Linked DNA regions of Callithrix jacchus. The protein of the gene in region 1 interacts with the protein of each later gene in a pairwise test. Links are inferred from orthologs where the notes say so. Each region holds a gene or a part of one and is shown on either strand. Other genes may lie near its edges.

Evidence for each region.
Region 2: the proteins of USP2 (region 1) and HOMER3 interact in binary tests that used the Homo sapiens proteins (3 or more experiments, as listed by UniProt). The two-hybrid records come from large-scale screens. The link is inferred for Callithrix jacchus from reciprocal best matches to the Homo sapiens genes USP2 and HOMER3.
Region 3: the proteins of USP2 (region 1) and DTX3 interact in binary tests that used the Homo sapiens proteins (3 or more experiments, as listed by UniProt). The link is inferred for Callithrix jacchus from reciprocal best matches to the Homo sapiens genes USP2 and DTX3.
Region 4: the proteins of USP2 (region 1) and NEFL interact in binary tests that used the Homo sapiens proteins (3 or more experiments, as listed by UniProt). The two-hybrid records come from large-scale screens. The link is inferred for Callithrix jacchus from reciprocal best matches to the Homo sapiens genes USP2 and NEFL.
Region 5: the proteins of USP2 (region 1) and GOLGA2 interact in binary tests that used the Homo sapiens proteins (3 or more experiments, as listed by UniProt). The two-hybrid records come from large-scale screens. The link is inferred for Callithrix jacchus from reciprocal best matches to the Homo sapiens genes USP2 and GOLGA2.
Region 6: the proteins of USP2 (region 1) and VPS52 interact in binary tests that used the Homo sapiens proteins (3 or more experiments, as listed by UniProt). The two-hybrid records come from large-scale screens. The link is inferred for Callithrix jacchus from reciprocal best matches to the Homo sapiens genes USP2 and VPS52.
Region 7: the proteins of USP2 (region 1) and LHX4 interact in binary tests that used the Homo sapiens proteins (3 or more experiments, as listed by UniProt). The two-hybrid records come from large-scale screens. The link is inferred for Callithrix jacchus from reciprocal best matches to the Homo sapiens genes USP2 and LHX4.

Annotation. Positions count from the first base shown.
Region 1 is NC_133511.1:19,006,506-19,009,565, forward strand, and holds the end of USP2 (ubiquitin carboxyl-terminal hydrolase 2), read right to left. Parts: intron 2,895-3,060; coding exon 2,787-2,894; intron 2,629-2,786; coding exon 2,508-2,628; intron 2,284-2,507; coding exon 2,196-2,283; 3' UTR 501-2,195; downstream 1-500. UniProt on the Homo sapiens protein: Hydrolase that deubiquitinates polyubiquitinated target proteins such as MDM2, MDM4 and CCND1. Isoform 1 and isoform 4 possess both ubiquitin-specific peptidase and isopeptidase activities.
Region 2 is NC_133523.1:17,630,848-17,634,991, reverse strand, and holds the start of HOMER3 (homer protein homolog 3), read left to right. Parts: upstream 1-1,344; 5' UTR 1,345-2,282; intron 2,283-3,550; 5' UTR 3,551-3,618; coding exon 3,619-3,632; intron 3,633-3,715; coding exon 3,716-3,872; intron 3,873-4,112; coding exon 4,113-4,144. UniProt on the Homo sapiens protein: Postsynaptic density scaffolding protein. Binds and cross-links cytoplasmic regions of GRM1, GRM5, ITPR1, DNM3, RYR1, RYR2, SHANK1 and SHANK3.
Region 3 is NC_133510.1:62,088,591-62,091,368, reverse strand, and holds the end of DTX3 (putative E3 ubiquitin-protein ligase DTX3), read left to right. Parts: intron 1-1,014; coding exon 1,015-1,232; intron 1,233-1,572; coding exon 1,573-1,648; 3' UTR 1,649-2,278; downstream 2,279-2,778. Other genes in the region: ARHGEF25 (rho guanine nucleotide exchange factor 25), read left to right, coding at 2,701-2,778. UniProt on the Homo sapiens protein: Regulator of Notch signaling, a signaling pathway involved in cell-cell communications that regulates a broad spectrum of cell-fate determinations.
Region 4 is NC_133514.1:16,529,667-16,533,820, reverse strand, and holds the start of NEFL (neurofilament light polypeptide), read right to left. Parts: upstream 2,801-4,154; 5' UTR 2,701-2,800; coding exon 1,654-2,700; intron 540-1,653; coding exon 415-539; intron 25-414; coding exon 1-24. UniProt on the Homo sapiens protein: Neurofilaments usually contain three intermediate filament proteins: NEFL, NEFM, and NEFH which are involved in the maintenance of neuronal caliber.
Region 5 is NC_133502.1:176,875,508-176,879,007, forward strand, and holds part of GOLGA2 (golgin subfamily A member 2), read right to left. Parts: intron 1,797-3,500; coding exon 1,692-1,796; intron 1,439-1,691; coding exon 1,395-1,438; intron 1,276-1,394; coding exon 1,212-1,275; intron 790-1,211; coding exon 730-789; intron 547-729; coding exon 466-546; intron 1-465. UniProt on the Homo sapiens protein: Peripheral membrane component of the cis-Golgi stack that acts as a membrane skeleton that maintains the structure of the Golgi apparatus, and as a vesicle thether that facilitates vesicle fusion to the Golgi membrane.
Region 6 is NC_133505.1:41,493,327-41,495,570, forward strand, and holds the end of VPS52 (vacuolar protein sorting-associated protein 52 homolog), read right to left. Parts: intron 2,130-2,244; coding exon 2,018-2,129; intron 1,786-2,017; coding exon 1,667-1,785; intron 1,198-1,666; coding exon 1,051-1,197; 3' UTR 501-1,050; downstream 1-500. UniProt on the Homo sapiens protein: Acts as a component of the GARP complex that is involved in retrograde transport from early and late endosomes to the trans-Golgi network (TGN).
Region 7 is NC_133519.1:23,121,052-23,124,551, reverse strand, and holds part of LHX4 (LIM/homeobox protein Lhx4), read left to right. Parts: intron 1-182; coding exon 183-577; 3' UTR 578-3,500. UniProt on the Homo sapiens protein: May play a critical role in the development of respiratory control mechanisms and in the normal growth and maturation of the lung. Binds preferentially to methylated DNA.

The DNA.
Region 1 (3,060 bases):
CTGACCCGTGCATGTTTCAGCAGAGAATACAGTTGACCTTTGAACAATGTGGCTTGAACTGTGTGGGTCCACTTTCACATGGATGTTTTTCAACCAAACAAGGATTTTGTGCTTTTGTGAGATGCGAAACCCATGTACGTAGAAGGTTGATTGTAATATATGCAGGTTCTCCAGGGCTGACCTTGGGACTTGAGTATGGTATGGTGCAGATTTTGGCATATCTTGGAACCAATCTCCCTGTGTATACTGGGGGATGGTTGTATATTTAAATGTGTATGTAGAGTCAACAATTGGTGAATCCAGATGAGAATACAGTGTCCAAAATGTGTACTGTTTAAACAAAAATATAACTGAAATGTTTAAACTAAAAAGTGGGTAACTTTTTCCAGAAACTTGGAATTTCCAAATTGGCTGAAGCATTGAAATAGATGGTCCCTAATATACTAGGAGCCCTTCCTAGGTTCAAACACTCCCAAATCAAGATCCCAAGATCTTCTGACTGATTTCTCAAAGCTATTATTTATTCTGTACAAGCTTCCACTGTACATTAGACATTCTTCTACTCTTGCTTACACAGTAAACAAGTGTACACTTGCCCTTGGGCTCAGGTTCACAGGTCTTCCCTGTAGAAGGTTGTCAGGCCAGTAAAACTTAGGTTATCTTTCTCTGATGCCTCCTCCTGGAAGCCTGGAACGTGCCAGGCTCTGCGGGGCACAAGCTGGGCCCAGCTGTGTGGGTGTGCACAGGTACACAGTGCTTCAGTCCTTGGCGCTGAACAGCTTTACTCTCTAGGACAGCACAGAGTTTTGTCCAACTATGTAGGGCAAAATTGAGCCCACGGGAAGGAACCATACCACTGAGGCAAGATGTCCCCAAATACCCAGGCTCCAGCTCCCACTGCAGGGCTGAAGACCAATGCCAAGAGGAGCTGATGGGCAGCCTGGGCATCCCTGAGAAACTCGGTCCAAAGGGGCTATGTCTAGGAGGCTCTGAGAAGGGGGTGGGGCAGGAAGGCCAGGGGAAAGGGATATTAAGAGAATAAATAAAAGGAGAGAGAAGCTCTAGGGATGGGGGGCTTGTGCTATCCTTCAAACAGCTGGGGAGCAGACCAGGGGCGGGTTAGAGGACGTGATGCACTGTGGGAAGGGATCTCCTTCTACCTGCTTTCCTCTTCGAGTCAGTGCAATGCACAGCCAGCCGGGGCTAAGGGCAGGACCCCTCTCCCGGCGGGTTTGAACACAGCACTGGGGAAAAGGGAAGAGGCTGAGGGATATTTCAGGGAGGGGCAGTTACCCCCTGGTCCCCAAATGCTATAAGGCACAATTCTTGGAGGCAACTACATTCCATTCAAAACATTAAAAAAAAAACAAAAACAAAAACCAAAACAAACCCCCCCAACCCCCAAAACAGAAACTTGTTTTAGATCCCAGGTCTACTGTGGTTGTGCTTGGGGCCTGGCCAACGCCCGCTTAGCACCATGGGGGCTAGATTAAAAAAGTAGGACTTGGAGAGAGAGAGAGGAAAAAAAAAAAAAAAAAAAGACGAGTGCAATGTCCCCCAGCTGTGAAGAGGCCTGAAGGAGAGCATTCCAGTCTCAACACTTTAGTTACGGAAATAAAAAAAAGTTGGGCTTTTTAAAAACCAAAACCAGCGTTTTCCAAAAATGTCCCTTCGTCTGTCCCCCGGAGTTAGCAGCGTGAAGAGGGCTCTTGGCTCAAGGGTGTTTTTCGGCTCTGGACGGGCAAGCGGTGCGGGTGGAAATGGGCGCCGGCTCCTCCGCGGCGCGGGCGTCCAGGCGGCGATGCTCCCATCGGGCTCCAGAGGGCGCTGTCCCCCGGGAGGCGCGGGCGCTGCGGCGGGCAGCGGGGCAGCGAGGGTCTTCTCCCCACAGACGCGGTTGTTTCTGACACACAGGAAGACCACAGGCTTACAGATGCAAACGGAGACGCCGAGGGCACGGGGCGACGCTGACTCCACATCCAGGCGATCTTCCCTGCCGGGCCATGGCTCAGGAGCGCCCGGCTCCTTGCTCCAGACCCCGACCAGGCTGCATCCTCTCCGGCTCGGCAGCTTCAGGTTTGTTTTTCTCTTGTCAGGCTTGTGTTTTCTTTTTTGTTGTTGTTGTTTTTGTCTTTTTACAAAACTCAGGGAGCGGGGCCACCACGGGGAAGGGAGAAGGGACGTGGCTCCTGGCGCTACATTCGGGAGGGAGGGCTGGCCAGTTCGTAGAAGAGCAGGTAGGCGTCGCTGGTGCGCACCTGGCTGGAGGACATGGGAGTGACGCTGCGGAGAGAATGAGGAGTCAGCCCGGAGAGGGGGCAGGACCCGGAGACCCCGCGCTGGCCTCTTCAGCCGTGCCCCCGAAGCCGGCCTTGCTTTCAGGGAGCCTCCCCACGGGCAGCGGCTTCGTGGCCCTGAACTTCCCCGTCCATTCTGGTGGAAGCCGTGCGGGGGAGGGGGGGGTCGGGTGGCTACAGTCAGGGGCCCGGCCCAGCCCTGGCTCTCACCTGGAGTCGTTGAAAGTGTGCCACTCGCCTGTCCCTGGACTGCGACAGTAGGCTGTATAGTGGCCGCCCATGGTGGTTCCAGAGTGATTGGACACAGCGTACAGGTTGTAAACAGCATGGTCTGAGAAAGAGGCAGCCGTCAAGCCCCTGAGGCCCCCTGCCCCCACCCCCTCCCTCTAGCCTCTCCCGCGTGGTCTGGCAGCAGCTCGCTGGCGCTCCCCTCCTTCTGGCCTGCACACCTGCGTCTTCATTCTGCCTTGCCTACTCAGAGCTACTCACTGGTGTTTTCTGAGGCAAATTCTCTTAAGTCCAGGTCTCTAAGGGGGAAGTTCACGAATGTTGTGAGCTTGCTGGTGCGGATCCTGGATTCTGAGAACCGCTTCAAATCTGGCATTGGCTTGAGTCAAGGAGAGTCAAACCAACGCAGAAGAGCAGACAGCAAAAGGAAAGCCTACACGGTCCATTTCCTATGGCTCTGTTCCCCTCACCTATTGGCCCCTTGACATCAGTCACCCTTGAAAGTCATGTCCCAGCCCCGATGGATCTTAAGGAT
Region 2 (4,144 bases), on another chromosome or scaffold:
AAAAAAGTGAGGAGGGAGGGAGGGAGAGAGAGAGAGAGAGAGAGAGAGAGAGAGAGATAGAGAGAGACAGAGCCGGGCACGGTGGCTCACACCTGTAATCCCATTGCTTTGGGAGGCCGAGGTGGGCGGATCACCTGAAGTCAGGAGTTCAAGACCAGCCTGACCAACATGGTGAAACCCCGTCTTTAAAAATAAATAAATAATTAATTAAAAAAGAAAGAAAAGAAAAAGAGAGAGAGGGAGGGAGGGAGGGAAAGAAAGGAAAAAAGAGAGAGAGAGAAAGGAAGGAATGAAGGAAGAAAGAGAAAGAAAGAAAGAGACTCAAATGCAAGGCTCAGAGCTGTAGGGCGCCACAGCCCTTGGTTCCAGGGAGCTGCAGGGACTTTGCCCACAAACCGACGGTAATGTGCGGTTTTGGAGAAGGTGCCAGAGATAGGGCAGCACCAGGATTGACAAGTTCCACCCATGGGCTTGGGGCTGGGGAGATGGATCCCACCTCAGCTCTGGAAGGATGCTTTCCTGGCAAGTGTGGGAAGGGGATGCTCCTTGTGACCAGAGGTGACAAAGGGGACACACCCATGCGTTGGAGACATTCCCTAAGCCTTTGGATCTTGGGACCCACAAACTAGCAATGATAACCTTAATCCAACCATCATGGGCATTTTACCATTGTCTTGGGAAGGACAGAGGTGGACAGATGTCCCTGCCCAGGGATGGAGCTGGCAGAACAGACAGGAAGGCTTCTCTCTCTTTGTCTTGCTTCCTGTTCCCTCCCGAAGCCGATCTCTTCCGTTTCCTGGCAACACCCATTGAGCACCTACTGTATGCAAACAGTACATACAGTGCATACAGTAGGTGCTCAATGGGTGTTGCCAGGAAACGAGAGCCCCGTGGCCAGAAGGGACCCACCGCCCCCTCTGCAACCTCACTGAACCACCCACGTCAGCCCGGGAGGGACCTGACCTTCCTCATGGGCCCAAAGTCATGACCTCAGGTAGTGGGGACAGAGGCAGCTGTCCCCTGAGACGTGACAGGAGGGTGAGGTCACATCGCCGTCCCTGCAACTGTATCTCTACATCTGCTTCCTGTCTCTTTGCCTGTCTCCGCCGTGTCTCTTTCTGGGTCTCTTTCTCATCCCAGATGTCCCTCTCCTCTGTCTCTCTGTCCCCACCCTCTGTTCCCAGTCCCGAACCCCCGCAACGCCCCAGTCCCCCTCCACCGCCCTTAGCCCCCTCCCCCAATCCCCCGCCCCTCCCCCCACCTGGCCCGGTGCAAAAAGCCGGCAGGGGGCGCAGCGGGGCGGCCTCGGCGGCCCCGGGAGGCGGGGCGGGCGGCGGCCGCGTCGGGACCCGCCGCGATGGGACCGGAGGCGGCGCGGGCGGCGGCGGCGGCGCAGACAAAGACGCGGGCGGCGCGGAGGGCGGCGCGGAGGGCGCGGGCCCGGGAGCCAGGGAGCGAGCGGGGCGCCCGGCTGCGCGGAGTCAGCGCCGCGGGGGCCGCACCCGACTTGCGACCGAACACTCGCTGGGCGCCGACCCGGCAGGGTGAGCCCGGCCGGCCGAGACTGCGCCGCGAGCGCGGGGGCCTCGAAGTCGCGGGGCCAAGGGAAGGGCGCGGGGGGTCCCCAGAAGTTCCGGACCTGGGGACTGGGAGCGGCGCGAGGGGCCCCCAAGTTCCAGGGCCGGAGGGAGCGCAGGGGTCCCGAAGTTCTGGAGTCGGGGTCGGTGAGGGGACCGCGCGGGAGGTTCCCAAAGTTCTGGACCCGGCGTTGGAGGAGGCTGCGAAGGAGTCCCCAAAGTTTCGGACCTGGGGTGGGAGCCAGGCGCGGGAGGGGCCCCGACGTCCGGGACCAGGGACTGGAAGGGTGGCAGGGGGTCCACCTCGAAGTTTAGGAGTCTGGGACAACGAGGGGGTCCCCAAAGTTCCGGACCGGGTTAGAGGGGGCGGCACGGAGGGCAGTCCCCGGAGTTCCGGACCTGGGGTTGGAGGAGGCAGAAGAGGTATCCCCGAAGTTCTGTACCCAGCGACGGGGCTGTCGCGGGAATCTCGGAAGTTCCAGGGTCAGGGCGCGCGTCCCGGAGTTGGGTCGCGCACTGGGTGTCCTCCCGCCTCGGGTGGGGACTGGATCCTGAATGAATATTGGCCCCCTCCCCGCCTCCGGAGTGGGGTGCATGGGACGGGGCCTCACCCACCGGCCAGATTGGGGATCCCGGGCACCGGGCGGTGTCGGACCCCCCTTCGGGAGCCCCGTGGCCGGCGGCATCCGAGCGCATGACTAGTTGGTGAGTAACTTTCCCCAAACGCTGCAAGTCGCAGCAGGAGCGGCCGGACCGGAAGGGCCTGGGTTCCGGGGACCCCTGCGTCCCCCAACTCCCACCTGGCGCAGGACCTACCTCCGGTCCAGGCCAGAGCTCCCGCCCCACCCCCACTCAGGGGCTCCAGTTTCAGACCCTGTGACCGGCGCAGCAGCTGCCCAGGACAGGATGGGGGGGCATACCCCCTTTGACCATAGAGGCTGCTGGGCTGGGGCCTCCCCGCCTATCTTCCCCCTCCCCCAAATCCTTCCTTGGTCCCCTGCACATCCGGGTGGCTGGATGGACCAATGGGGAGGTTGGGGAGCCCTGTTCTCCCAGTGGTGGCATTGGGATTGGCATTCTGCTCTGCTCCCTGTGATGGGCACTGGGATTGGCTGTTTGGCTACATCTTGTCTTTTTAACTTGGCTGGGGGCTGCCTGGGGATTTGGAGTCTGGGCTGCCAGGTGTGCCTCTAGCCTAGGGTGGGAGCTGGGGGGGTCCCTCTGCAGGGCGCAGTGGGGAACTGGTCTCCCAGTACTACACACCTCTCAATGCCCCATTTTTGATGGAGAACCTCTCTCTGGCCGGTCATGGGTGAATGGAAAGAACTCAGCAGATATGTGGCCTTCACAGCTCAGCCCAGGATGGAGGGGGCTTCACGGGGCGAGGTGGGGGGTGCCGTAACTAGGACGATGAGAGATTTACATCTGAATGTCAACAGCAGCCACCTGGCTCCTCTCAGAGGGCCATCTCCTGTACAGGGTGTGGTGAGGGCTTCCCCCAGACAAAGAAAGATGGGGTCCACTTGCTCTGAGTGATCTATAATGATAATCTGGCCTTTTCATTTCTTTCTATCATTTCTTTGTTTTGTGGAGACAGGGTCTTGCTCTCTTGCCCAGGCTGGAGTGCAGTGGTGCTATCATGGCTCACTGCACTGCGGCCTTGACCTCCTGGGCTCAAGCGATCCTCCCACCTCAGCCTCCCCAGTAGCTGGGACCACAGGCACATGCCACCACACCTGGCTAATTGTTTAAATTTTGGGTAGGGGTGGGGTCTCACCATGATGCTCAGGCTGGTCTCGAACTCCTGGGCTCAAATGATCCTCCTGACTCAGCCTCCCAAAGCACACCCAGTGCTTTGGGCCTCTCTTGCCTTTTTGATGGAAAGTTCTGTGATAATGGGTCCTGAGCTGGAACCTGCTTGGCTTCCCTCAACCTGGCCTGAGGGACACTCATAGTCCCTCCTCTCTCCCTAGGGGCCAAACCAGCGGCTCCTGCCACCTCTCTGGCTGCCCCCTAGAGCCTGCCCAGCCCCGCCTGACCAATGTCCACAGCCAGGTGAGCTCCCACCTCCCCAGCCTGGACCTGAGCTTTCTAAGGGGGCATGTCCGGCCCCTACTGATCACCCTCTCCCCACACAGGGAGCAGCCAATCTTCAGTACACGGGCGCACGTGTTCCAAATTGACCCGGCCACCAAGCGAAACTGGATCCCGGCGGGCAAGCATGCACTCACGGTCTCCTATTTCTACGATGCCACCCGAAATGTCTACCGCATCATCAGCATTGGGGGCGCCAAGGTCCGGGTGGGGTCTAGGTGGGGCAGAGGCACCAGGGGTCCTGGTGACACGCGTGGGTCTGGTGGCTGGCTTGCTGTGTGCCCAAGGGATGGGAAACTCTGAGCCTTCCGGGGCCCTAGTCTGTCCCCTGAAATGGCTCAGAGTAAAGACTTTCCAGAGGCTAATACAAGGTGATACCTGGGGGTTTCATGTCTCGTACTATCCGTCCCATCAACCTTGAACTTTGTCCCCCAACCCCAGGCAATCATCAACAGCACTGTCACTCCAAACAT
Region 3 (2,778 bases), on another chromosome or scaffold:
CATCAGATATGAGAGAAAGAAATTACATATTATTTCCTTGGTGAACATAAATACTATGGTGACATTTGGCAGACGTAAATTCTGTGGAGGTGGTGGCTTAGGGGCAGGCAGGCACAATAGGAAGGGATCTGACAACCCAACAGAGCCAGGAGCATCTCTCTGTGTCAGATGTATGAGAGCAAAACCTTGATGCCAGTGGAAGGTTAAAACAGGAGTGGTCAAGGGCCTATAGGTGTCTTCCTGCTGGACAAAGAGTAATGTGGAATTCTGGGTGCAGAGGGGTAAAGAAGCTGCACAGAGTCCGGGCGCGGTGGCTCACGCCTGTAATCCCAGCACTTTGGGAGGCCAAGGCAGGTGGATCACAGGTCAAGAGATAGAGACCATCCTGGTCAACATGGTGAAACCCCGTCTCTACTAAAAACACAAAAAATTAGCTGGGCATGGTGGTGCATGCCTGTAATCCCAACTACTCAGGAGACTGAGGCAGGAGAATTGCCTGAACCCAGGAGGCAGAAGTTGCCATGAGCCGAGATTGTGCCATTGCACTCCAGCCTGGGTAACAAGAATAAAACTCCATCTCAAAAAAAAAAAGAAGCTGCACAGAAGAGTAATGGAAGATGGAACAGGTTAGACAGTGGCAGAAATATTAGGAGTATTTTCAGGTGAAGGGAAGGCTAAAAGATAGATTATTCTGTCTTCATATTTCTGCTGAGTTGTCTGGAGTGCAGGGACCAGCCACCTTCCATCACTTCTGAGAATCCATTTGTTGCTGAATGGATTGTTGCTGAGGGATTGAGACAGCAGAAAAAAACCTCTTAACACATAAAGATTATGCTCTGAAACAGGCTCTGACTGCCCAGGCCCTATAATCTCTCCTTTGGAAAGCTGTCAGCCTGTTACTGCCCTGTTCGCATTAGCTGGGGGTGCTAAGACAGAGGCTGGCCGCCTCCATTGACATCTGGGTCTTGGGATGGCTGGCTGCTCACTGCCCACTCTGCTTCACCTTCCTCCCAGGCTGAACACCCAAACCCAGGAGTTCGGTATCCTGGCACCACACGGGTGGCCTACCTCCCGGACTGCCCTGAGGGCAACAAGGTGCTGACCCTGTTCCGCAAGGCGTTTGACCAGCGTCTCACCTTCACTATCGGCACATCCATGACCACAGGGAGACCGAATGTCATCACCTGGAACGACATCCACCACAAGACCAGCTGCACAGGGGGACCCCAGCTGTGCGACCCCTCTTCACTACCTTTCCCTTGGCTCCTCCCCTTTGCTCAGTTTCCACTGAGGGAACCACCAACCCCCTTGCTCTGGGATCCTCCTAACTGGAGAGGACCACTTCCAAACTGTTCAGCCATCTCAGTTTCTCCTTCATTCAACCTGGCCCTGATGTGCCCAGCTTAACCTACAAAAATAAGCAGAATTGGGCTAAGTTATCTTGGGTTTGGAGGTGTACCCCTTAGGGGAGGTGGGGAGGTGTTTTGAGCCACCTAGAATGAGGGTAAGCATGGGGATAATAGCAAGTTCAAACAGCTGACAACCCTCACCCTCATTTCTCTTTGCTCCCAGGTTTGGGTACCCGGACCCCACCTACCTGACCCGGGTGCAAGAGGAGCTGAGAGCCAAGGGTATCACAGATGACTGAAGGACATCCCCTTTGCCTAGGCCCCTGCTGTCCACCTCTACTAGGACCCAGCAGAAGCCTCTGTTCTACTCTCTGCCCCCTGCCCCCACACCACACCTGTAGGGGACCTGTCTAATTGGGAAGGGAGTTCAGAGAGGGAGGGGGGCAATCCCTTCCCCCCAGTCCTCCACTGGCCAAGTGTTTCAGTGCAGTGTGAGCCACTCCCTTCTGGCAGAGGCCGACCTCCAAGGCCCTGTTCCCTGCTCCCTGTGTACATATACACCCAGTTTCCCTGCCCCTCCATTGCCCTTGGCTTTTTCTGGTATGTGCTGTGCTCCATGACCAAGCTGTGAAAGGACCTAGGGTGGGGAAGGGAGGGTCTGTTGATCTCCCATCACCCCCACTTATTGCTCCACTGCTGAACTTGGGGTGCAGGGAAGGAGGAATTGGGCTGATGTGAGCTCCCCGCCACCCTCCATGGAGCCAGTTCTCCCTCAACCTTGTCCTTTCTCGCCTGTGTCTCAGTCTCTGTTAGTCTGTCTTTCTCCGCTCTTCTCTGACCCCTATGAGGAACCTCCTTACCCTGTTCTGGAATCGCTGCCAGACTGTAGCTTTTAATTTAATAAAAATAAAGTAAAATATGCAACTCTTTATGCCACACCCGTTATTTTCCAGGGACTGGGTGGGGTGGGGTGGGGTGGGGAGCGGGACCTGCTGGAAAGGGGGAGGGGTACTGAGGCGATCCTGCTTGCCCTCCCAGTCCCCCCAGCCTCCTGAGGACCTGTGGAAACGGGATGCACCAGCGGGTTCTGTAGCAACACTGTGAAGCCCTGGGTCGCACTTCGATGTTGGAATTAGGATTAAGAGGGTTTTGTTGTTGTTGTGCAACTATGGTTGTAGAGAAAAGAACAACCCTACCCCCTTTGCGAAGTTTGGCTGGGGTGGGAGTGGGGGCGGAGCCGGGCAGGGGGTGGATTCCGCAGCAGCAACTCCCCGGACGCGCGCAGGCCTCAAAGCCCCCCCAGCTTCCGTGCCCCTCGACCCTGAAACTTGGAGCAGGGTAGGGGTTCAGTATGAAGCCCCCGGGCCGCCCCGCCCCTGGCCGCACTGACCGGATACTGGGGGTTATGGGGGGCATGCTGCGCGCATGC
Region 4 (4,154 bases), on another chromosome or scaffold:
GTCTCCTCGCCTTCCAAGAGTTTCCTGGGGATGCAGATGGAAGGTGAGGTTAAAAGAAACCTGTGTTTCACAACTTGCTCTGAGCACCCTAAAGGCTAAGGGAAGCAGGAGCAGGGCTGGGATTTATCAAAACTTAATGCCTGGGGATTTTGTGATGGAGACCAGAAACCAACAACAGGAACACATGAAATCGTCCTGTCAGATTTAAAAGGTAATGGGAAGCTAAAAACAAGACTCCTAATTACAGGGTTAAATTCTTATATATCTAAATACCTTCTTGGAAGAAGCAAAAAACTAACATTTCATTATTTCAAAGGACTATTCTTGAAGGTTTCTGATCCAACATAACTTTAATTGGGATCTGATTTTCTTCCTAAGGTTTAATGGCTGCTGTCTCTGCCCCTCTATTTTCACCTGTAAGCTGCAATCTCAATATCCAAAGCCATCTTCACATTGAGGAGGTCTTGGTATTCTTTTAGGTATCGTGCCATTTCACTCTTTGTGGTCCTCAATTCATTTTCTAATTTGTTGATCGTGTCCTGTTTGAAGACAAAAAAAAAAAAATATATCCAAGCATAAATATCTTCTATTACTTTACTGTAGTGTAGTTGTAAAGGCCTAGTTTCAATTAAAATCGAGGTGCACACCTTTGATAAAATCTCCCCTAGAATAATTTCCTGTATTTTTTTAAAAACCTTCTTGCCTAAAATAGCCAAGTTCATGAAGCCTGAGATGACAAACAAAATGGAAGAAAATTCTTTTCTTCTATTTCTTTACTTAATACAGCTTAATGATCATCAGAAAATGCCTGCAAGGAAACTAAGATGATAGAAAAACTGTTTCTCACCCACTGATTAAATCTTCTTTAGCTGGGTTACATGCCAAGAAACTAATGCCTTTCTGTACAGAAGAAAATAGCCAGACGAGAAAAAAATTATTCTCTCTAAAATATTTCCTATGTATCTAAATCATTTTTCTATTCCCCAGAAGAAAAAAAAAATTCTACTCCCCAGAAGATGGGGATCTTTTAAAATAGAGATCTTTTTAAAATTTTACTTTTTCTACTTCCCAGAAGATGGAGATGTTTTAAATAGAAATGTTGCACAAAGAAAAAGAAAAGAGTAAAAAGAAATGAACATCCTAGTTAACTGCCTAAAACAACGTTAACTATTTTCCTGTCTACCTACTAAATAAAGGAAGGGAGTGGTTGGTATAACTAGTCATAAAGCATGCTTGTCACCGTAACCTTTCAGAATTAATTGGGAGTTATTCACTCTACTATTTATTAACCAGATGATCTGATATTTGCTGCGAAGTAACTGGTGGTTAATACAGGTCAGTAGAGAGGAAATTTCACCGCAGGCCCCAGGCAACGCCCAGTTCCCACATCTTCCCCTCCCCCACCCAACACGGGCTGGGCAGCTTTAATGCGGAACTCGGGTGCAGCTGCACGGAGCACATTCCCAGACTACAGTGGCGCCCTTGCTCACGCCCTCCAAGTGCCCCACCCCGCCCACACAGGCGCCCAAGAGCCAAGCCTTATCCCCAAGAGCTGCCAGCAGCCGCACCACCCCTGGTCCCCACTTTCTGGGCGCACCAACTCTCCCCCGTGCTCTAGTCCTCCGCCCCCCTGTGTTTCGGGCGGTGCCGCACCTGCATAGCGCTGATGTCTGCGTTTTGCTTGTCCTCCAGCTCCTGCAGCTGCTTCTCCAGCGCTTCGTTCATGCCCCGGCATGCTTCGATCTCCAGGGTCTTGGCCTTGAGCAGGCGGCGGCTCTCGGACACCTCGTCCTTGGCGGCGCGCACGGCGTCGGTGTTCTTGGCGGCGCTCTCGGTCAGGACGGTGAAGCGGCTCTTGAACCACTCCTCGGCGTTCTGCATGTTCTTGGCTGCCAGCTTCTCGTACTGAGCGCGGATGTCCTTGAGCGCGGCGGAGAGGTCGGGCTTGGTGGACACGTCCATCTCCACGGAGATCTGCGCGTACTGGATCTGCGCTTGCAGCTCGGCGATCTCCTCTTCGTGCACTTTCTTCAGAAAAGCGATTTCGTCCATCAGGCTGTCGATGCGCTTTTCGAGCTCCGCGCGGGCAAGCGCCGCCTCGTCAGCGCCTTTGCGCGCTTCCATCAGCCTGCCCTCGGCGTCCTCGCGGCTCAGCACCTCCTCTTCATAGCGCGCCTGCAGGTTGCGTAGGGTCTCCTCGAGTCCTTCGCGCTCTCCCTGGAGCGCCTGCTTCTCGTTGGTGGCGTCTTCCGCCGCCAGGCGCAGGTCGCGGATCTCCTGCTCGTACAGCGCCCGGAAGCGGGACGGCTCCGAGTGCTTCTGGCGCAGCACCAGCAGCTCCGCTTCCAGGACCTTGTTCTGCTGCTCCAGCTCATGCACGCGCTCGATGAAGCTGGCGAAGCGGTCGTTGAGGTCCTGGAGCTGCGCCTTCTCCTGCGTGCGGATCGACTTGAGGTCGTTGCTGATGGCGGCTACCTGGCTCAGATCGAGGTTCTCCAGGCTGTGCATCAACGAGCCGGAGCTGGACGAGTAGCTGCGGCGCACGGACAGCGAGGAAGAAACCGGCGCCGAGTAGCTGGAGTAAGCGGAGCGCGCGGTGCTGTAGCCGCTGCGCACGCTGGAGATGTGCACCCGGGGCGTCTCCACGTAGCGCCGCTTGTAGGAGGTCGAGTAGTACGGCTCGAAGCTGAAGGAACTCATGGTGGCGGCCGGTGGCTCCCCAGCCCGCGGCGGCGGCGGGAGCCTGGAGAGAGAGAAGGACAGGGGAGTGAGGGAAGGGGAAGGATGGATGGCTGTGTGCGGCTCGGCGCCGTCCTGCCACCCCTATTTATACGCCGGGAGGATCCTGACGCAGCCTGCGATCGATCGCGGCGCGCCGGCCGGTGGGGGCAGCGCGCTGCTGCAGCCAAGGCGAGGATTCTGCGCAAAAGGGAAGGCGGGGGCGAGCGGCGGGCAGGGGAGCTGCGGCGCTCGTCCTTTACACTCTGCTCAGAGGCCCTTGATTTTCTCTGAGATTCCATGCACCCTCACTCATTTCCCTTCTGTATCCACCCACGCACCCCCCACCATCCTGCACCGCCCAGACCCCTTATCACTTGGATCCTTAAGTGTCCCCAAAACAGGTTATTGCTCTCTTTTGACACCCTAGTTTTCCGTATCCCGGCACCTCGTGGACACCCTGCCGCCCCCGCCCCCAACTCGCCCTTTTCCCACCAGGGACCTCTTTAACGATCCCCCTTGGTGTTTATGGTGACGGTGCCGCTAGGGGATTTTAGGTACAAATAAATAGGTTAGGTTGTGTGTCTGCGGTATGTATGGAGAAGAGTTTTAATTTCTTTATAGCTATTTCTGGCACTTTCTGCAATTCATCTTCCTTTTTCCTCGTTATTTTTCTTTTTCTTTAATGTGCTGCTTCTCAACACACAGGGAATGTGCGGACGCGCGCGCGCGCACACACACACACACACACACACACACGTGAAACTGCGGCACTACTGCAGGTGTTGGTTTAGCATTTCCAAACCTTTAAAGCAGTTGATCCGACTGTTAGTGTTTCTAGATTTTCACATTTCTTTACTGGGAATGAAGAAGCCGCGGATGCTTTTAACGTGTTGCAGTGTGTGGGTGGCGAAGAGCAGAGAATGAGTTGGAAACTAACACGGAGACTGACTTGCTGAGGCCGCTGCGCGCTAGGCAGCGGGGAGCTAGCTTCAAGCTGCCTGGATCCTCACCAAACTAAATTCCTGCTTGATACCACCAATCGCAGCACATTTACCGCCCGCTTCCCTCTTTTTACACATGTGTAGCACACAACCTGATGATTTCAACAAGCCTTGCAAGTGGTTGATTTTCAGGGAAGCCGTTGAGGACAGCCGGGAGCGCTGGGCGTGGTCTCCGGGGAGGAGAACTCGGCACCCAGACTTCTTTAGGAACGGATAGAAAATAGCCGCGTGATTCTTCCCACGATACACTGTAATTACCCGAAAGCAGATGCAGTCAGGAATCCATGGGTTTCCTTCAGGAAGCACCCAGATACCTGAAACTGGCGCACGCCGTAGCGCACGTGGACACAGCCCCTGCGGTTTGCAGGGTATTTTCACACGCGCGATGTTAGGAGTCCCCACGGTTTCATGGAGGGATTGCAGAGATTTACG
Region 5 (3,500 bases), on another chromosome or scaffold:
AAGACAGATAGGAGCCCTTGGCCCTGAGGTTTACATTCTAGTGGGACTTTAAATCTTGGACTCTCAGAGCTAAGAGACTTTTGATACTCTCTAACTCTACCTCCTCAGGAAATGCAAGCCCAAGGAGGAGAAGTGGCTTGTCCAGAATCAAAGAACAAATTAAGGACTGAGTCAAAATGGAAATATGGGGCTAGCACCTGCTTGAGAGGCAACAACCCCAGGGCGTGTGTGGCAAGGACTCGAGCAGGGGTGTCTAGAGAAGAGAGAGTAGGCAAAAAGGGCAGCAACAGAAGAGCCATGCTGCATGCTCCGTGCTCTGGGGTCCCTCCAGCTGAGGCCTGGGCCCCCCAGCTCCCCATTCGCCCTTGGCACCAGGGGCCCCCTGCCCCTTTCTTCAGGGCCCCAATGGGAAACTGGAGCCCAGGATTGGCAGCGTGGAATCAGGGGACCCCACTGGACTCTTACCAATTTCTCTATCGTGACATTGAGTTGTTTGTTTGTTACATAGCTGGAGTCCAGGGCTACCGCTAGCTGTTGGTACCGGCTCTGAGGCGCATGCAGAGAGGAGGAGTTGGAGGAGGATTGGGGGGAGAGGTAGAGAGAGCAATCATTAGGGTTGGGGGGTGTGTGGGCTGTCTCAGCTGGCAGAGGGGCACCCAGCCCTCGCTGTGGGAGGAGGTTGGAGGGCTGGCCTGCAGGGTCACTGAGCCACGGCCCAGGGCCTCTTACCTCCAGGTCTTTCAGGTTAGCAGATGATGCCAGGCCCTCCCCATTGACACATGTTGTAGACTATAAGAGACGGGAATGCACATGGAGATGTTCTGCCCTCCCAGTGTCTAAGCCCTCTGACTTCCTTTCTTCCCCCTCATCTGGCAACATTCTCTTTTCTGCCTAACTTGGACCCTTTGTCCTGTAAACCCTTTTGTGCCAACTTCTCTCATGGTTCTTATTTCCCCACCAACCTTCCCTCCCGAGCACCTCTCATCCAGTGCTGCAGCAGGATAAAATGATGCAACCAGTCACAGGCTCCAACCCCTTCATGTGTACAGCTTCAAGGGAGAAAGCTCAGGGAAGAGGTGACTCCCTCAACATTGCCCAGAAAATCAGCTGGTCCCAGGATCTTCCCTCTCTCATGAATCCCTGCTTCGGTTTTTTTCTGTCATACTTTCCTCCCCCCTACACCCCACTCTGGGCCTCAACTTCTGAGGTACCTCACAAACAAGACCGTTGAGCTGTTGGGAGAGTTGTCGCAGGCTCTCAGTTGATGAGAAAGTCCTAGGAATGGAGACACAGGGGTCAGGGGTACAGGTGGTTCAATGGGAAAGAAGGTCATGGGCAGTGGCCTCCCTGACTCTCTCCACCTAGAGACTGCTGCCCCAATAGGAGACACTCACTTGGTTTCATCCATAAGATTAGGGACGTTGTCAGCATCATGATTCTGTGTGGGAAGAAACATATGAGATGGTCATTCAATTTCTGGTAAGAATCACCCAGGATGGGGTGAGACAAGCTCCCAAACTCATTCCAATAATCTTCCATCTCCCCAGACCTCAAAGAAAAGCCTAGTCTGAGCCTTCCCCCAGCCCGGTCCCTAGGAAGAGCTGTTGGCCCTAGGGAACAAGCTACCTGTAAGAGAAGAGATCCATACTAGGTACAGGAGGGCAGGGGGCAGAGGGGGAGGAGGCACGAACCTGAGGTGCCACCATGCTAGTGAGACTGGCACCAGGGGAAGGGACACCGCCAGGTAACACGGTGTCATCAGATGGTTGTAGAGAAGCAGCATTGTCCTTGGGTGTCTGTCATAGAACAGAGCAGGGGGTTAGGGGACCATGTGGGAGAGAAGGTGCCTCAGTGCCATGAACACAGGGTATGGAACAGGTAGGATGGGTGTTGCTGCAGTTAGAGTGACAGTCACGCATGCTAGGAGCCACTCAGGGGTGTGTATATGGTTGCCCAGGCCTTGGGCTGCTAGACAGCACTTCAAATGGTCAAAGCTCAAAGCAGGGGCTGCACGGCCCCCTTCACAAACACAAGGACCTCACTCTCCCTGGAGCTCAGCAAAAGACAGCAGCAGGCTCTGACCTGTGAAAGCCACAGCAGGTGGGAGGAAGGTGTGCCAAAGTCAGGGAGAAGAAAGGCAGTGTTCTACCAGAAGGCCAGTCTGTGCTGCAGAGTGACACTAACTGGGACCCTGCTGGGCAGAGGATGGTGATGAGGAAGTAGTTGTCTGGGCAATGCCCAATGTAGCTATCTGCCTCTCTCCTCCTTGCCTCCCTTCCCTTCTCCCCGGTGGTGGCACAATCATAGCTCACTGCAGCTTCCACCTCCTGTGCTCAAGCAATCCTCCCACCTCAGCCTCCCTAGTAGCTGAGATTAGAGGCACACACCACCATGCTCAGCTAATTTTTACAGACACAGTCTCACCATCTTGCCCAGGCTGGTCTCAAAGTCCTGGACTCAAGTGATCCTCCCACCTTGCTATCCCAAAGTGTTGGGATTACAAGTGTGAGCCACTGCACCTGGCCTATTGGCTGTGTTTCTAATTCAGGCTTTTCAGGAAAAAAAAAGTGTCCCAATTAGAATACAAGCCTCTCCCCACTCTCTGGAGGTAAAAAGAGAATAAACCATGGCCACCACCCCCACCCTGACCTCTTACCTCCAAAAGCATCTACCCAACCAAGAAACCACCCAAGAAAACAGAGGTAAGACATCTGCCCTATGGCTCTTGGCAACTTGGAAGTTGTGGGGCCTCTTTCCTGGGAATAGCACCTGGGGACAATTATAGGATTCAGGACTTGGAGTCATGTGGAGCCTCTTCTTTCACCCCAACTGGACCTACCTGCTTGACCAAGACCCACCTAGCCTCTCTCCAGGCTCTGGCTTTACTCCTGGCCCAAGCCTCTGGCTCTAGAGATCTAATATCCGACAGGCCAGATGGGCAGACAATGGAAAAAGCTGCTGACCAGCAAAGCTTGACAAGAGAGAAACAACAGGGAGCCAAGGCCTGGCCAGGGAAGCTGGGTCTGGGGGAAGTGGCTATACCTCTCTCTAGGGAAAGGACTGCCTGCTCACTGGACCCTTCAGCCCTGATCTCTGAAAACCCGAATCTGCTTCCTTCCTTAGAGCAAGTGCTGCAGAGGCTGGCAGAATTGAAGATGAGCCAAGTTGTCTTTGCATCTTTGCAAGTTTACTGTGACCATGGAATCTGGTGTTGCCCTGAAAATGTCTAGAACTGAATCTAATAGGTCAGAGCAGGGGTTCAGCACTGGCCAGGCATGAGCCTTTGGGGAAGGCTGGCATTCCTAGCCATGTAGGCTTTAGGTCCCTCCTGGCATCTTGGGTTCCCACTGATCTCTAGGATTAGACACAACAATGTTCAGAGGAGGGGAAGTTTTCTTTCTTCTTTTTGTTTGAGATGGAGTATTGCTCTGTCGCCCAGGCTGGAGTGCAGTGGCGAGATCTCCGCTCACTGCAACCTCCACCTCCTGGGTTCGAGATTC
Region 6 (2,244 bases), on another chromosome or scaffold:
TAAAGGGGTCATCGTGTCTCTCCAGTCTAGAGCCTAAGTTCAAATGAGGCGTAAGACGAGGGCAGCAGGAAGGCTCCAAGTCAAACAGAAATGTATGAGATGGATAAATTTCGCCTGGTCTATCCCTGCTCCAACGGTGTGGGTGTGGGTTGGGTGGTGCAGCCCTTGAGCAAGGGGCTGTGACAGTCACAATCAGAGGAGCTGCGGGAGCTGCTACGGAGAAAGCGGAGGCAATTCCAGAGTCAGCTTGGGATTGTCCCAGGGGAGTCCTCAGGACAGTGTCTGGGGCTGTAGCCTGGTTCTCAGCCCTTGCAGCATCTGCCATTTTAACCAGGGGTCACCTACTTCCTCTGGCCTGGAAGTAGCTAGAAGTTAAAGGTTACACTCACCAGAAGGGGGTAAGCCCAGGAAGTAGTCAGAAAAGAAAGGTGGCTCTAGAGAAGAGATGGGGCCACCTGAAGGCCTTCAGGAGGACAGAGAAAATAAATGGGAGAAGAGTGTTATGTCATATTAAATATTTATTTTCTGCAGACTGTCTTGGGAGTAATTCTTGAGCCAGGAGGGGAGGGGTTAGTGTTCAAATTGCTGAGACCTTAGGTCAAAAAGCTACAGAAATCACTTTGAATAAAACAATGACTTAGAGGCAGTCACCCCTTGCCAGTAATTCCAAGAGTTGAGGCTTCATGCCTCAGAACACAGTGACAAGAGTTGAGTGAACCAGAGATTGAGGCAGTGGTTTTCACAGGGGAAGAAAGAGCTTGGGTGTATGCGAGCAGGAGGGTGACAGACTGGGGAAATGGTAAAGGCCATTTTGGAAGCCCACAGGGAAGTGGTCTTGGGAAATATGAAGACACTGGGAGATTCAGAAGGCCAAGGGGATCCAGCTTATCCTGTTGAGCAAGGTGCTGGGAGGGAAGGCAGGTAAGCCATGTAAAAGGCCTGGGAGGCAAGGGGAAAACTGGAAGGGGGACCCCAAGTGAAGAAGGATATGGAATGGGGGTGCAGAAGTCCATGGAGATGACTGGCAGATCTCAGGGCGGTTTCAGCACATCAGAAGTTGGGTTTATGTTTCTTGAGCTCCACCATAAGGTGGTGAATGTTGATGAGCTCTGCCCGGGCAGGAAGGGCTCGGAGTTGCGGCTGGGACAGCACCCGGTGGAAGCGATGATAAAGCTGGATCAGCTGGGTCAGTGCTCCCTGGTCAAAGAAAGTCATTGAGGGACCAGATTGTAAAGTGGTGGTGACAGTGATTATTAAGAATCAGTTTAGGCGGCTGGGCACGGTGGCTCACATTTGCAATCTCAGCACTTTGGGGCCGAGGTGGGCAGATCACGAGGTCAGGAGTTTGAGACCAGCCTGGCCAACACAGTGACACCCTGTCTCTACTAAAAATACAAAAATTAGCTGGGCGTGGTGGCAGGTGCCTGTAATCCCAGCTATTCAGGAGGCTGAGGCAGGACAATGGCTTGAACCCAGGAGGTGGAGGCTGCAGTGAGCTGAGACTGTGCCACTGCACACACACAAAAAATCAGGTTAGGGCTCAACCAGAACTTTGGGCACAGCTAGTAGCTGATGGGTCACTTAGATGATGCTAAGCCCAGCAAAAAGATGTAAGAAAACAATAAATAATGGGGGATGTGAGTGGGGGCTGGGACTTGTAGGTCACCTGAATGATACTGGTTCCATTTCTGAAGTTGGTGAAACTCCGCATTACATCCTGACTCAGAGATTCCACCGATGATTTCCAGGAACTACCAAAGCCACGGATCAGCTGAGTTACCCGGGCTGATAGCAGGAGGAAAGGGAATGTCAGAGAGGGATCTGGCTGGCTGATCTTCAACTGCACTACGTTCTCCCCAAGGTACAGCCATCCTTACCATCAAACCCCTCTTTTCTGGATTCTCTCGATCCAGTCTTTCATACTCTGCACCGCCCCCCCCAAGTAATCTGTATCCTTTCCTTTTTCTTTTCCATTTCCCTTATCACTGATCCCACCATTACCACATTTTCCTCATACCTTCTTCCCCTCGAAGTCGCTCAGCCTGTCCACGCTCAATCAAAGCCTCAGCCTCCTTCACAAATGCTACCAGACCCCCAAAAGGGGGAGACAGCAACTCTTCAATGAATTCCTGGAAAGACACAAATACATATACACAGGTGTCCTGGTATCAGCAGCTTTGCTCAATTCGGGCATCAGACTAATGCAGATCCGTGTCAATGGCATCTTTCAGCTGCTGTAAATCC
Region 7 (3,500 bases), on another chromosome or scaffold:
CTTGACCTGGGTTGGCCTCTGGATGTCAGGCTGCCATATCGGTGTGTCTGACCCGTGCTTGGCTGCAAGGCTGCTGCCATCCTCGGGTATCTTCCTGGTCACGTGTATTCCTAGGTTGTGAAGAGCAGGGGACCATCGGAGTCCTGGTAGCTGACAATAAATCTCCGTTCTTTTGTCCACAGAGGATCAGATTCTCTCAGAACTTGGCCACACCAATAGGATTTATGGCAACGTGGGGGACGTTACAGGCGGACAGTTAATGAATGGGAGCTTCTCCATGGACGGGACAGGACAATCCTATCAGGACTTGAGGGATGGGAGCCCCTATGGAATCCCCCAGTCTCCATCCTCCATATCGTCCCTGCCATCCCACGCTCCTTTGCTCAATGGGCTGGATTACACGGTGGACAGTAATTTGGGCATCATTGCGCATGCAGGGCAGGGAGTAAGCCAGACGCTGAGAACCATGGCTGGGGGACCCACCTCTGACATCTCCACAGGAAGCAGTGTAGGCTATCCCGACTTTCCAACTAGCCCAGCCTCTTGGCTCGATGAAATGGATCATCCTCCTTTTTAACCTTCTCTCCTCCCCACCTTACCTGTCTTCCTGGCTTGAGAGAATATCTTCAAGGATCAAGAGAGACTTGCCTTTTAAGGATCGAAAGTACGTCAATGTGAATTTCCATTATTTTCAATGGAAGTCCTCAGCTGATTCCTAGAAGGCTGTGAGATCACACTAGGGCACTGTTTTCCTGGGGAAGCAGCGGGAGAGCAGCCTTATCTCAGAACACAGTACAGGGGGTAATGGCCTAGAGCTCTAGGGACGCTGGCTTGTTGGGTCTCTCCCCTCCTGTTCTGCTTATGGGCTTGGCTGCTCAGTGCTTTGGTAGCACAAGATGACTGTGATAGGCCCCCCTGGCCTTTGGGAACTTTGCTTCAACTGGTGTGTTTCACGCAATGCCTCCCAAAACACTGCTTCACCAGAACTGAGATTCCTGAGGTAGAGGCCTCACAGCCCTTGAGTAAAATAGAAGTGATTTCTGGACTACCCTTATTGAACCCTATATCTCAAAATGAAAAGGTCAGTTATTAAAGGTCAGTGAACACTTTGACGGCCACAGTTTGATATTAAAAACACGCCCCCCCTTTTTTCCTGTGAAAATATGAATTCTTTCCTACAAAGCAGAGAATATGAGTTCGTTTTGGTTTTAAGTCCCATATGTATTGCTGACTCTGATGGCAAGAGGTGTTTTTCATTGCAGGTGACTGAGGCTGAGCTGAGTAGCTCTGGGGCACCGCTGCAGTCTGCCTGATGAGTCCCCTGGGTGCACAGTGTGCCTTCTTCATTTGCTTGTTTTATTCCACGAGACAGGCTGTGGGCTACAAAATGAGCAAAACTAAAATGTGGGGAGAACAGAATGACAATCAGTGAACATTTGTAGACACATTTGGATTCCACACCTGCAGTCTGTTCAGTCGTACCAGCAAATGCCAGCCTTCCAGAGTCACCCATTCTTGTGAGGTGAAATATTTGGAGTCTGCTTTGAGGGAGTTGTTTAGATGAGCTTGCAAGTCTACCGCTGTCCCCTTAATAATGAAAGCTTTCTCTGCTGTCCTGGCTGACTCAATTGGACGACAGTTTTGGTCGTTTCCAGGAACCAGCAATGGTTTTTTGGCCTATGTTGGTTGGGAAGAATCACTTGGGGAGCAGCCTAAAATCGTCTAAAGGGTTCTGAGTGGTCCTTGGGCTGATCTCTCTGGCTTGCTGGCTGGACACCTGCCATGCTTTGGGCTGCAGTCCCATGGTCAGAAAGCCAGAGCTCTCTAGCCAGTGGTAGTGCAGGGACTCCCTGTTGTGCAGGTTTGCAGTAGCACATCACTAAGCCTGAGGCCAGGGCAAGGCCAACCTCTGCTTTACCAGTTGCCACTTCTGCGACAGTGCACTGCTGTGGGAAACACTGTTCTGAATGGTGCTTCAGCTCCCTCCGTGTGCACCCATCTGCCATCAGGAAGCTCTCCATTTGCAAAGTGGAATTTATGCCTGTCCCTCTGGAAAGCTGTGATTTGCTTCTTCTGGACTCCCGTTCTCTTAAATGAGATCAGCAGAGTGGAAAAGGGTGAGAAGGCATTGCCTTTCTATCACATGAAGTGATGGGGCTAGAGACCCTAAGGACCCTTCCTTCTGTGAATGGTTGGTCATCTTTTGAGGACTGCACAGATTTAGGCATGTCATAGGCAGACTAAAGGAAGAATACACAGTTCCTCTCGGGCTGCTGCATCTTTTGTAAGCCCCTTCCCAGGACAAAACTGAGTTCATTTAAACTTCTTTCAAACAGTAAACTCTGGGATCAGCCTTCGGGCCACCTCTTCTCTGACCAATTTTATGGTGTACCCTTGTTTTTCTGTGTGTGGCAGTGGTCATGATTTTTGCTTGAGGAGTCTGCAAATGTAGACGCTTTCCTTGAGGTTCCATGTTTATGGATGATGGTGTGTTAAGCCTAGCCAATTTTGTGCTATTGGGAATTCGTCAATCATGAACATTGGGGTGGGAAGGAAGACACAAATGCAAGATAACAAGCCATGTGAGGAAAAGAAAATGCAATTGTCTTTTTGGAGGATGGCTTTTAAAATATACATCTTAGCAGGCTGCTCAAAATACACAGGAGAAAAGGCTCTGCTGGGCAGTGAACCAGCTGAAAAGCTGCACACCCAGATCACTGTTGCAGGTTGACTGTTTGGCTGACTAAACTCATGGATTTCAGGGGCACTTGATGTTTTTGGTGAGTACAGCGTGGGGGAGAGCAGGCTCTTTAGAGAGGGGAATCCTCCTCTGTAGCACTGTTTAAGATCACCGTTAGTTCATCAGTTTTTGTTTCTGTAAGTTAATCATACTCATTCCCAGTTCAATAGTGGAAGAAGGAGAGGCCTTACTCATTTATACTAATATAATAAATCTCTTGAGGAACTCAGTGAACAGTTAACGAGATCAAGAGTTCTTTGGCATCAGTAGGGCTGGGTAGCTGGAAGAACGCTTGAGAGCACTGGCCTGAAAACAAGGAGAGCTTTGTTTTCCAGAGCCACCTCTCCAGAATGCAACAAACATTGTGGCCTGTTTAGAAGCACAGTCACCGTAGGTCTAAGATTTTTGCAGGTGGAGTTAGCATTATGGGTGGGCCGGTGCCACTAATGAGCCACTACATGACAAGACTGTTCCTTGGCTCTTCTGGACTTTGGAAATGGAGAAGAGCAGGGCATTCATTACCTTTAGCTTCTCTTGGAGGCACTCCTCTGTTGCTTGAAAGTTCTATTATGGGGTATAACGTGCTACATGGTAGCTGTTTTCCCCTTGCTAAAATGTATGGATGAATTTTCAAAATGACATGAGACCTTCTAGAGGCATTCACAATATTTTGACCTGTCTTTGGCTTTAAGACAGCAATTAACTAGCAACCATTATCTGCAGTGCGTGGCTGGCCAATTTTAGAGTAGGAAGCTCTTGA